2 linked regions of the Xenopus tropicalis genome follow. The protein of the gene in region 1 purifies or fractionates together with the protein of each later gene. This does not show direct contact. Links are inferred from orthologs where the notes say so. Each region holds a gene or a part of one and is shown in the gene's direction. Other genes may lie near its edges.

Region 1 (4,198 bases):
AGCTCCAACCCGGCCCAAGGAAAGTCTCCCATAGGGCTCAATGGCACTCTGCAGCTCCAACCTGGCCCAAGGAAAGCCTCCCATAGGGCTCAATGGCACTCTGCAGCTCCAACCCGGCCCAAGGAAAGTCTCCCATAGGGATCAATGGCACTCTGCAGCTCCAACCCGGCCCAAGGAAAGTCTCCCATAGGGCTCAATGGCACTCTGCAGCTCCAACCCGGCCCAAGGAAAGTCTCCCATAGGGCTCAATGGCACTCTGCAGCTCCAACCCGGCCCAAGGAAAGTCTCCCATAGGGCTCAATGGCACTCTGCAACTCCAACCCGGCCCAAGGAAAGTCTCCCATAGGGCTCAATGGCACTCTGCAGCTCCAACCCGGCCCAAGGAAAGTCTCCCATAGGGCTCAATGGCACTCTGCAGCTCCAACCCGGCCCAAGGAAAGTCTCCCATAGGGCTCAATGGCACTCTGCAGCTCCAACCTGGCCAAAAGACAGTCATGATACTAAAGCTTCAATGAATTCCGAAATGGTTGTAGTCATTGCAAAAAATACTACTTTTTTGTGCAAATTTACGCAAAATGGAAAAAAGTTGCATCATTTTAACTATATTATCGCGGTCATTATGAAAAGTTCTAAACTTTAGAAAAAATACAAATTTTTCGCAGTCGTGATTATCGTGCTTTAATGAATGGGCCCCAAAATGTACACTCTCGCCAGATCAGCCACAGTCCAACAGAATGAAATAATAATCAGTTGAACCCAACCCCGGAGCTGACACACATGCCAAGATAGTCAGGCCATATGATTGAAAATAGGAAAACGCACAGGCAGGTATAGCTAATCTATGGCCAAATTCATACTATTTTATGACATGTTCCAGTTTGCTTTGGTAATAACATCAGCACTGATGATTTCATACACACAGCAGAACAATAGCAGCCATCCGGCAGCCTCAACTCGAACGTTCTTGTGTAACAGAAACCAGACTTCACAAACAACGGGAAAACGTACAATATATTAAAACTGGTGTGAGATAGGAAAGTAAATTATAAGAATGCTAAACCAAAAAACCACACAATCCCAATTCTTTCCCACCCCCACCTTTTTTTTTTTTTTTTTTTTGTTTAAGGCAGACTGCCAAATAGACACGCATACAGCACAAATTACACCCGTCCCTCCAATTCTAAGGACAGCGGCTAAACATAAATAGGGAACTATACGCCGCTCTGAGTACCGCCCCTTTAACCTACGCAGCCAATGACAAAACGCTGTGCTTAATCACATCCTACTCAGATAGCGGGCGAGGCGCTTAGCAACAGTGGGCGTGGTACTGCGAACAGTCGCTGACGTCAGCGAGTCTATATAAAGCCCGCTCTCCAGCGTGGTGTCCCCTTTTAGGCTTAGTGGAAGTTACCTCCCGGTAGCCCTTCGGTGCTCACCATGGCAACCCTCACATCTCTCCGCTTTCTGTGCTGCGCTGTAAGAGCCCAGGTCCGAGCGATCCACTGTACCCCTTGCAGGTAAGTGCGAGTCCCTGCTAGTGACCTTGCCTTATTCAAACTGGTCCTACCCCTGTCGGGACCCCCCCTCATTAGCCGGATAAGATGAGCCCGCCCGCCAAACCAACAAAGGCAGCAGCCTAGTCCGTTCTATGTCAGTGCCAATACTCCTTCTCCGTTGGTGAAGCGGTCTGTCACATCTGTCATATTATGGAGGGGAGGAGTAGCTTATTAGAGCAAGAGGCTGCCAGCTGGGAACCATGCTCATTTAATGCCCTTAAATCTTAAACGAAATAGCATAGACCGTATTGGAAATACAATTCCCAGCGTTCTCTGCGACTGCTGTAAGAGTTTTATAATGTAGGAAGTAGTGTGACCTTAGAGTTAACTTATGCTTTCGTGAAATGCTTTGTTGTTAGTGTTCTATCCACATAATGGCTTTATACAGTGACATGAATGCAGTGTGGGCATTGGCTAGCCCTATAGCCTTAATATGATGGTAGGATGCTTGTAGCCATGGGAGCTGTGTGTATTGGCAGGGACAGGAAGTGAAGCCTGGCTGATGAAATCCCTTTTGCTGGTTGCACTGGCTTTGCCTTCCCTCCCCCCGCTCTCTGATGCCCCGCCCACCTTAAAGTTGAAGCTCAGTGTCTCCCCTGCCATTGAATGTGTATTTCTATATCCACAAACTTGATTTTCGTGAAACATAATTGCTTTTCCATCTGTCCAGGGGGTACCCCAACACTGAATCACACTGGGACACGGACATTTGCCATTATGTAGCTTTGTAATAATTTGTTTTTAATGAAAATGATCAGTGTGTGGTAAGCCCTTGATAACTATTAATCACAATTCATTTAAACAGCACTTCCATAGTGTGCATTTGTGTGTAAGCAAAGGAACCAGCAGTGGGAACGGATAGCACGTTGGTATGATTGTGGCAGAATGATGTTGGTTAGTTCTGGAGGCATGGGAGCAGCTAGTGAGTTAGGAGGAATAATGGCAATGATGAGAGAAGACGTGGGTAACAACTGTGTGGGAACTTACGCTGGGGAAAGTGTCTGGGTTTTGAGGGGATTTAAAATCTTTATTGGAGGGCTGCACTAAAGGAGATGGGAAAGTTGGTCGGGGAGGGATACAAAGGCTGGCAGAGTGCTGGATAATATGCTTTTGTATTATATAGAAGGGACAGGCTGCCACAGAATGCTTCCTTTTTATATTTTATTCTAAATTTGTATATTGCGTAACATTGTCATGTATGGAATAGCTAGGCTGCTAAAGAGCGGCTGAGCTTCACCTACTGTTCCAACTACTAATGTCACTTTTTCCGCTGTGGGGAGTGTCCTGGCCAAAACATTACATAAAGGAAACTGTACATACAGCCAGCCTTTATGTAATGGTGCTCAGTAGGTGTGAGTGGTTTATTCTGCCGACACGCACAACTTTAGGGGCCGCGTTACTTCATCAGCCATTTACTTGTTATGACTACAAAACTCGGCACATGTGATGCAGTTCTAATGACATATAGCCATGTGGGGGTGGAGTGGGGGGTAAATGCACAGTGAGGATGTAAGGATGGAAGTACAGGTATGGGATCCATCATCTGGAAGCCCAGGGGGTGCGGGGGGGGGGGGGGAGGGAGGAAGTGGAAGGAGCTTAGACTTTGTTGAAGTGTTGGTGAAACCTCTGCCCTGTTGGTAGAGGGGTGGGGGTCATCTTTTAGCTAAAGTGTTATCTGGTCTGGTAATACATATTTTTTGAGGGTTAGGGTACAATTATTAACACATAATTATAAAGTACTTACTACTCAAAGTTGTACAATAAATAGGTTTATACATTGAACATACTGATTATGTATTAAAAAAGTGACCAATACAAGAGCTAAAGGGGGCAGAAAGTACTTACAATCGGGAGGGAAACACCTACCTACTTACCTTGAAGACTGACAGCAGTTTGGAACCAACAGTTTTTTTCAGGGGGTAGTAATAGGCAGTGTTAGTGACAGTGCCATGTAGGCATAGCCTAAAGCTAATTTCAGAAGGGGTATGTTGACCACAGCTGCTTTCAGGCAGAAAACAGCAGTGGTTAAAACCCCCTCTTTATTTCTATATATAAAATTATAGGAATGTTATGATTTAAGTACATGTTGTGGTGAGCACAGAAATGCTTAAGCAAATCGAAGTGCCCTGTCCGTTAATTCCTTAAGCCGGCAATTGGTATGAAACAAAGTTCTGTACAATGTTCAGTTTGTGTATGGTGGGGCAACAACCTCATCCTGTTGTGTCATACCATGGATAACAGTTGTGTCTGATGGACATGTTGGGAAAGGTCCCCTGCTGATGCACAATATCTGCCAGTGTTTGGGCAGATGAGGAACAGATCGTTTGACTGTCGGCCCCAGAGGACAAAAAAAAAAGTTGGTCATACGGTATATGGGCAGTTGGACGGTATCCATTCCAAACAGTATCGACCAGTGTATCTTACTGCAATCAAAGTAGCCATATCAGTTGTAAAGTTCAATTTGTCTATTTGTGCAGCTGGTCTTGTATAAATAACAGTTGTTTACTCTGTGTTCATAGAATAGTTGTCTCTTCTCTAAGGTAATGATTAATCGGGTAATTGTTTCTGGTTCTTCTTCTGTTCAATTTTATTATTTTAGAGACAAGAATCTAGTTTTAATTCTTGATATTGGAAGCTGGTCT
Region 2 (4,305 bases), on another chromosome or scaffold:
TGTGCCATACCCTCCCTGACCTATGCTGCCTGTGTGTGCCATACTCTGCCTTCCCTATGCTGCCTGTGTGTGCCATACTCTGCCTGCCCTACCCTTCCTGTGTGTGCCATACCCTCCCTGACCTATGCTGGCTGTATGTGCCATACTCTGCCTGCCCTACCCTTCCTGTGTGTGCCATACCCTCCCTGACCTATGCTGCCTGTGTGTGCCATACTCTGCCTTCCCTATGCTGCCTGTGTGTGCCATACTCTGCCTGCCCTACCCTTCCTGTGTGTGCCATACCCTCCCTGACCTATGCTGGCTGTATGTGCCATACTCTGCCTTCCCTATGCTGCCTGTGTGTGCCATACTCTGCCTGCCCTACCCTTCCTGTGTGTGCCATACCCTCCCTGCCCTATGCTGCCTGTGTGTGCCATACCCTCCTTGCCCTATGCTGGCTGTATGTGCCATACTCTGCCTACAGTACCATGTCTGAGGTGTGAAGAAGTGAACAATGGGAGTGACTACAGTCTGAGCCTGAGGTGTGAACACTGCAGGGGTTGAACAATGCAGAGATTAAAAGGTGTGAACAACACAGGGGATTACATGTTTAAACAATACAGGGGGATTACAGCCTGAATCTGAGGTGAGAACCATGCAGGGGGGCCAGTTAATCACAGTACTGATACCATTTAAATCTTACACAAAGGTAAGCCATCAAAGCAGCCAGACAGGTGGGGGGCCACACAGATGGGGGTCGTGGGCCGCCAGTTGGACAGCACTGAGCTAATGGAATGGCCCAAACAAGCTATTGCAGGCCAGCAGTAAAGTTACACTACTTTACATGATATTACACAGGCAAAAGCCAACACTCTGGAGCTCATTTATTAACGCCGATTGCAGAATGCAAAAATCAGCACACTTTAAAAAAAAAAAAAAATGCAAAATTCCTTCCCACAATTCAGAGCATAATTGCAAAACTGCGCGCCAGACGCTGTAAAGGCATACATCGGCACCGGGTAGTAAAATGCGCCCAAGTGGGCAAGTTACCCCTGTGAGATACAGAGCAGCACATGGGTAGACATTAACAATTCTATAAGCGCATTATTCTTAGGAGTCCAGCAGTCATAAACAAACCTTTGTAACGCAACGCTAGCGCAAACACCACATAAAAACGCAAAACTTGTAAATGTACTAAATGAATGAATCCGTTTCCCTATGGGTCCCCTTCCCCGACTCCAACTAATAACAAACCCAAGGGATGCCCTTCCCGCCTAAGTCCTTCCTCCTCGGCCAATCACAACTTGAAGGCACTCTTGATTGACTGCATTGGGGGCGTGGTTTTTAGTAGCTCTCTGGGCGTGGGCTGCCCACATTGTTCCTGAGCGGTGAATGCAGCAGCTGCATAGAGAGCAACGCCCAAGCCGCCCATTCATCTGCTCCCTGCTGCTCTGCTTGTATGTGCTCAGCTCACATAGCGGCACCGGGCAGCGCCACACATTGCCTGCTGAAAGATCTGTTGCTCTTCGCAAAAATTGCGCCTTTTGCCCTAATGCTTGATCTAGGTATTATGTTCTATGCGAGGGAGAGCAGCTGACTTTAATGTGGGGGGGATCACCTGCTACAGTCCTGCGGTAAGTAGCTGCGATCGCTGGGCGTTCCTGATTGGGTCTTTGGTTTCCTGTTGCAGGGGCTGCAGAAATGATTTTCCTATTTATTCTTATATATACAAACGGGGGTGGGATATTGTAATAGTTGAAGCTGGGTTTTTGTTTCAGTTTTGCTATGCTGTTTGCTGTATTAGAGAAGGAAAGTTGCCAACACTATTTATGGGAACTTTAATTGGGGCAAATAACTGTGGTGCTAGCCCTTTTCCCTTCCCAGCTGCAGTCTTGTAAATCAACCCACTTGTTAGTATGGTTCTGCCGCCCCCTGCGGAGTAATGAGTTGATGATGTTATTGATTGATGTGATTCTGGGCTTACCAAGCTGTGACCCTGTTGTTGAACTACAGCTGGGTGCCAGCACCCTCCCAATAGGTTTAGGTTGAACATCTCTGAGGTATGTGCTAAAGCAACATTTTTCCTCCAAGGGGATTTTTTAAATCTGGGGTCCCAGGGCTAATTCCGTGCCATCTCTGTCATGCCCTAATACAGTGGATGTTTAGTAGTGCCAGCCCAGGATAGGACATTAACATTGGAATTTAGGCTGGTGCCTATTGCCATACTTTGCCCAGTCTGCCGTTATATGGGCAGGAATTGAAATGATGGGAAGGCTATTATGACTGGTACATTCCTTGTTCTATTAATAAAAGGAAATCTGATTGTGAGCTCTTGCACCAAGATAATCACTGTCAGGACTGTGGTAAAAGAGGAATTTTGACCAATGCACTCATCTCAGGGAGAACATGGGAATCAATTACATATTAGAATGATGTCGAAAGCAGAATTCTAAGACAATTTGCCATTGATCTTCATTTTTATTTTTTTTTTTTGTGGTTTTTGAATCATTTACATTATTTTCTGCAGCTCTTGACTGCTATCTGGTTTCTAGGCATTAATCACCCTAGCAACCAGTTTTGAAGCCAACATGGATTAGGAGAGGACCTGAAAAGAAAAATAAGCAATAACATATAAGAATCACAATAACATTCAGCTTCACCAATTACTGAAGGGACCCCCCCAGACCCCTGCAACACAGCACAGCCCTGTTGGGTATGGGATGTTGCTCTCTCATTGTCCTTGGCTGACCCTGGCTACTTGCCTGTAACAAACCTCCTCTGAGCTCTATTGATGCTACCAAGGAGCCTATGCTGGAACGATATGTCACAGGCTGAAATATTGATGGGATGACGATAATGCAATTAAGGAGAATTTGCTTTTTGAGGTCTCTCTAGGCTTTCCAGTGTTTTGTTCATATTGCTATGGGGGAGGGTCTTATGTCAATAACAGAGCAGTTCTCTAAGGTTTCTGCTGCCGCATCTCTTGCTGTGTGATGTCATGTACCTACCTGTTGGCTGCTGATTCATTGCTGTGCCTCCCGGTACATTGCAGAGCCACAGCGTAGAGCAATAGAAAAGCAAACTGGGATATTTCCAATATTACCAATATTAGTGCACTGGGCGGGACCCAAGGCCAGCAGCTGCATGGGGATTCAGAGAAAAGAGTAAGAGGCAGCAAGCAGGCCCAGCCCCAGAGAAACTTCCACACCTGAGAGTCACCAGTCATATGGTAAAAAAATCAGAAATATTGTGGCTACAGGTAGGAAGATTGTCTGTGGTTTTTAAGTTATATGTGAATGTATCTGCTATTTAGCCAGTAATTTCCAGACTAACTTCTGCTACATTGTTTCAGGAGTCAGAACCAGAATTGCAGTGAATGTAAACAGCCAGTCAGATGCTGCTTTTTAAATTTACAAACAATTGAACATGTTTAATGTGTATTGGAAAGATGTGTTACTGCATATTCTCTTTCATTATTCAAAAAAAGCACTTTCTGGTTAGACTTTATGTATTAAGCTAAATTCACATTATGATACATCTGCCCCCTAGTTTTTTTTTTTTTTTTTTTCAGCAGGATTTGGATATTACTTGTGTGCCATATTACTTGTATGAACTGTTTCCTACACCACTCCCTTTAGGCTCACAGTGTAATGAAACACTTCCCTTAAAATCCCTCTGCTTATCATAGTGGGAGTTTCACAGATAGTGGGTGGTTCACAGATTCTCTTGAAAGCAGAGGGACGTCAAGTCCCAGAAATCCATCACTTCAGTGATTTAAGTGGAACAAGGTGATGGTGGGGTGAGATCTGCTGAATGTAAAGTGAAATTATAAAAAAAACATAAAAAATGAGGACCAACTGCAAATTTTCTTTCTTAGTATAATTTACAGGGTAATATTCAAAGTTAATTTAAAGGTGAACTATCCCTCTACTGCCCGCTCATGGGCTGATTATTTTTTATTATACTCTTTGCTGATTGGTTGGATATTGTACCATGTGGCTACACAAACAAATGGCAACTGCACTGATTCACAATCGCCCCCCCCCCCATCCCCAATCCCACAATCTTTGGAAGGGCCCGGCGCAGAGTAGAAAACCCACCCGGATACCATAACTGTACCAGTTCATTTCTTATTTTAGCCAATGGCTGTTGGTTTCCATATCAGAATACTTCACTGTTGAGCAGGACCCTCTTTATACCTAATGCATCATTCAGTTTTTGTATGCTTAACATGTATATCCTTCTGTTGTACAACACTATTGCATATGTTGGCGCTTTATATGTATGTGTACATAATGATTTTCTAGATTGACTTCAAGCTTAAGT

The links.
Region 2: the proteins of mthfd2 (region 1) and hras purify together in Homo sapiens (co-immunoprecipitation; 4 studies listed by BioGRID and IntAct, with this or other methods). This does not show direct contact. The link is inferred for Xenopus tropicalis from reciprocal best matches to the Homo sapiens genes MTHFD2 and HRAS.

The regions. Positions count from the first base shown.
Region 1 is NC_030679.2:121,283,968-121,288,165, forward strand, and holds the start of mthfd2 (bifunctional methylenetetrahydrofolate dehydrogenase/cyclohydrolase, mitochondrial precursor), read left to right. Parts: upstream 1-1,388; 5' UTR 1,389-1,437; coding exon 1,438-1,517; intron 1,518-4,198. UniProt on the Homo sapiens protein: Although its dehydrogenase activity is NAD-specific, it can also utilize NADP at a reduced efficiency.
Region 2 is NC_030680.2:34,323,703-34,328,007, reverse strand, and holds the start of hras (GTPase HRas), read left to right. Parts: upstream 1-1,501; 5' UTR 1,502-1,613; intron 1,614-4,305. UniProt on the Homo sapiens protein: Involved in the activation of Ras protein signal transduction. Ras proteins bind GDP/GTP and possess intrinsic GTPase activity.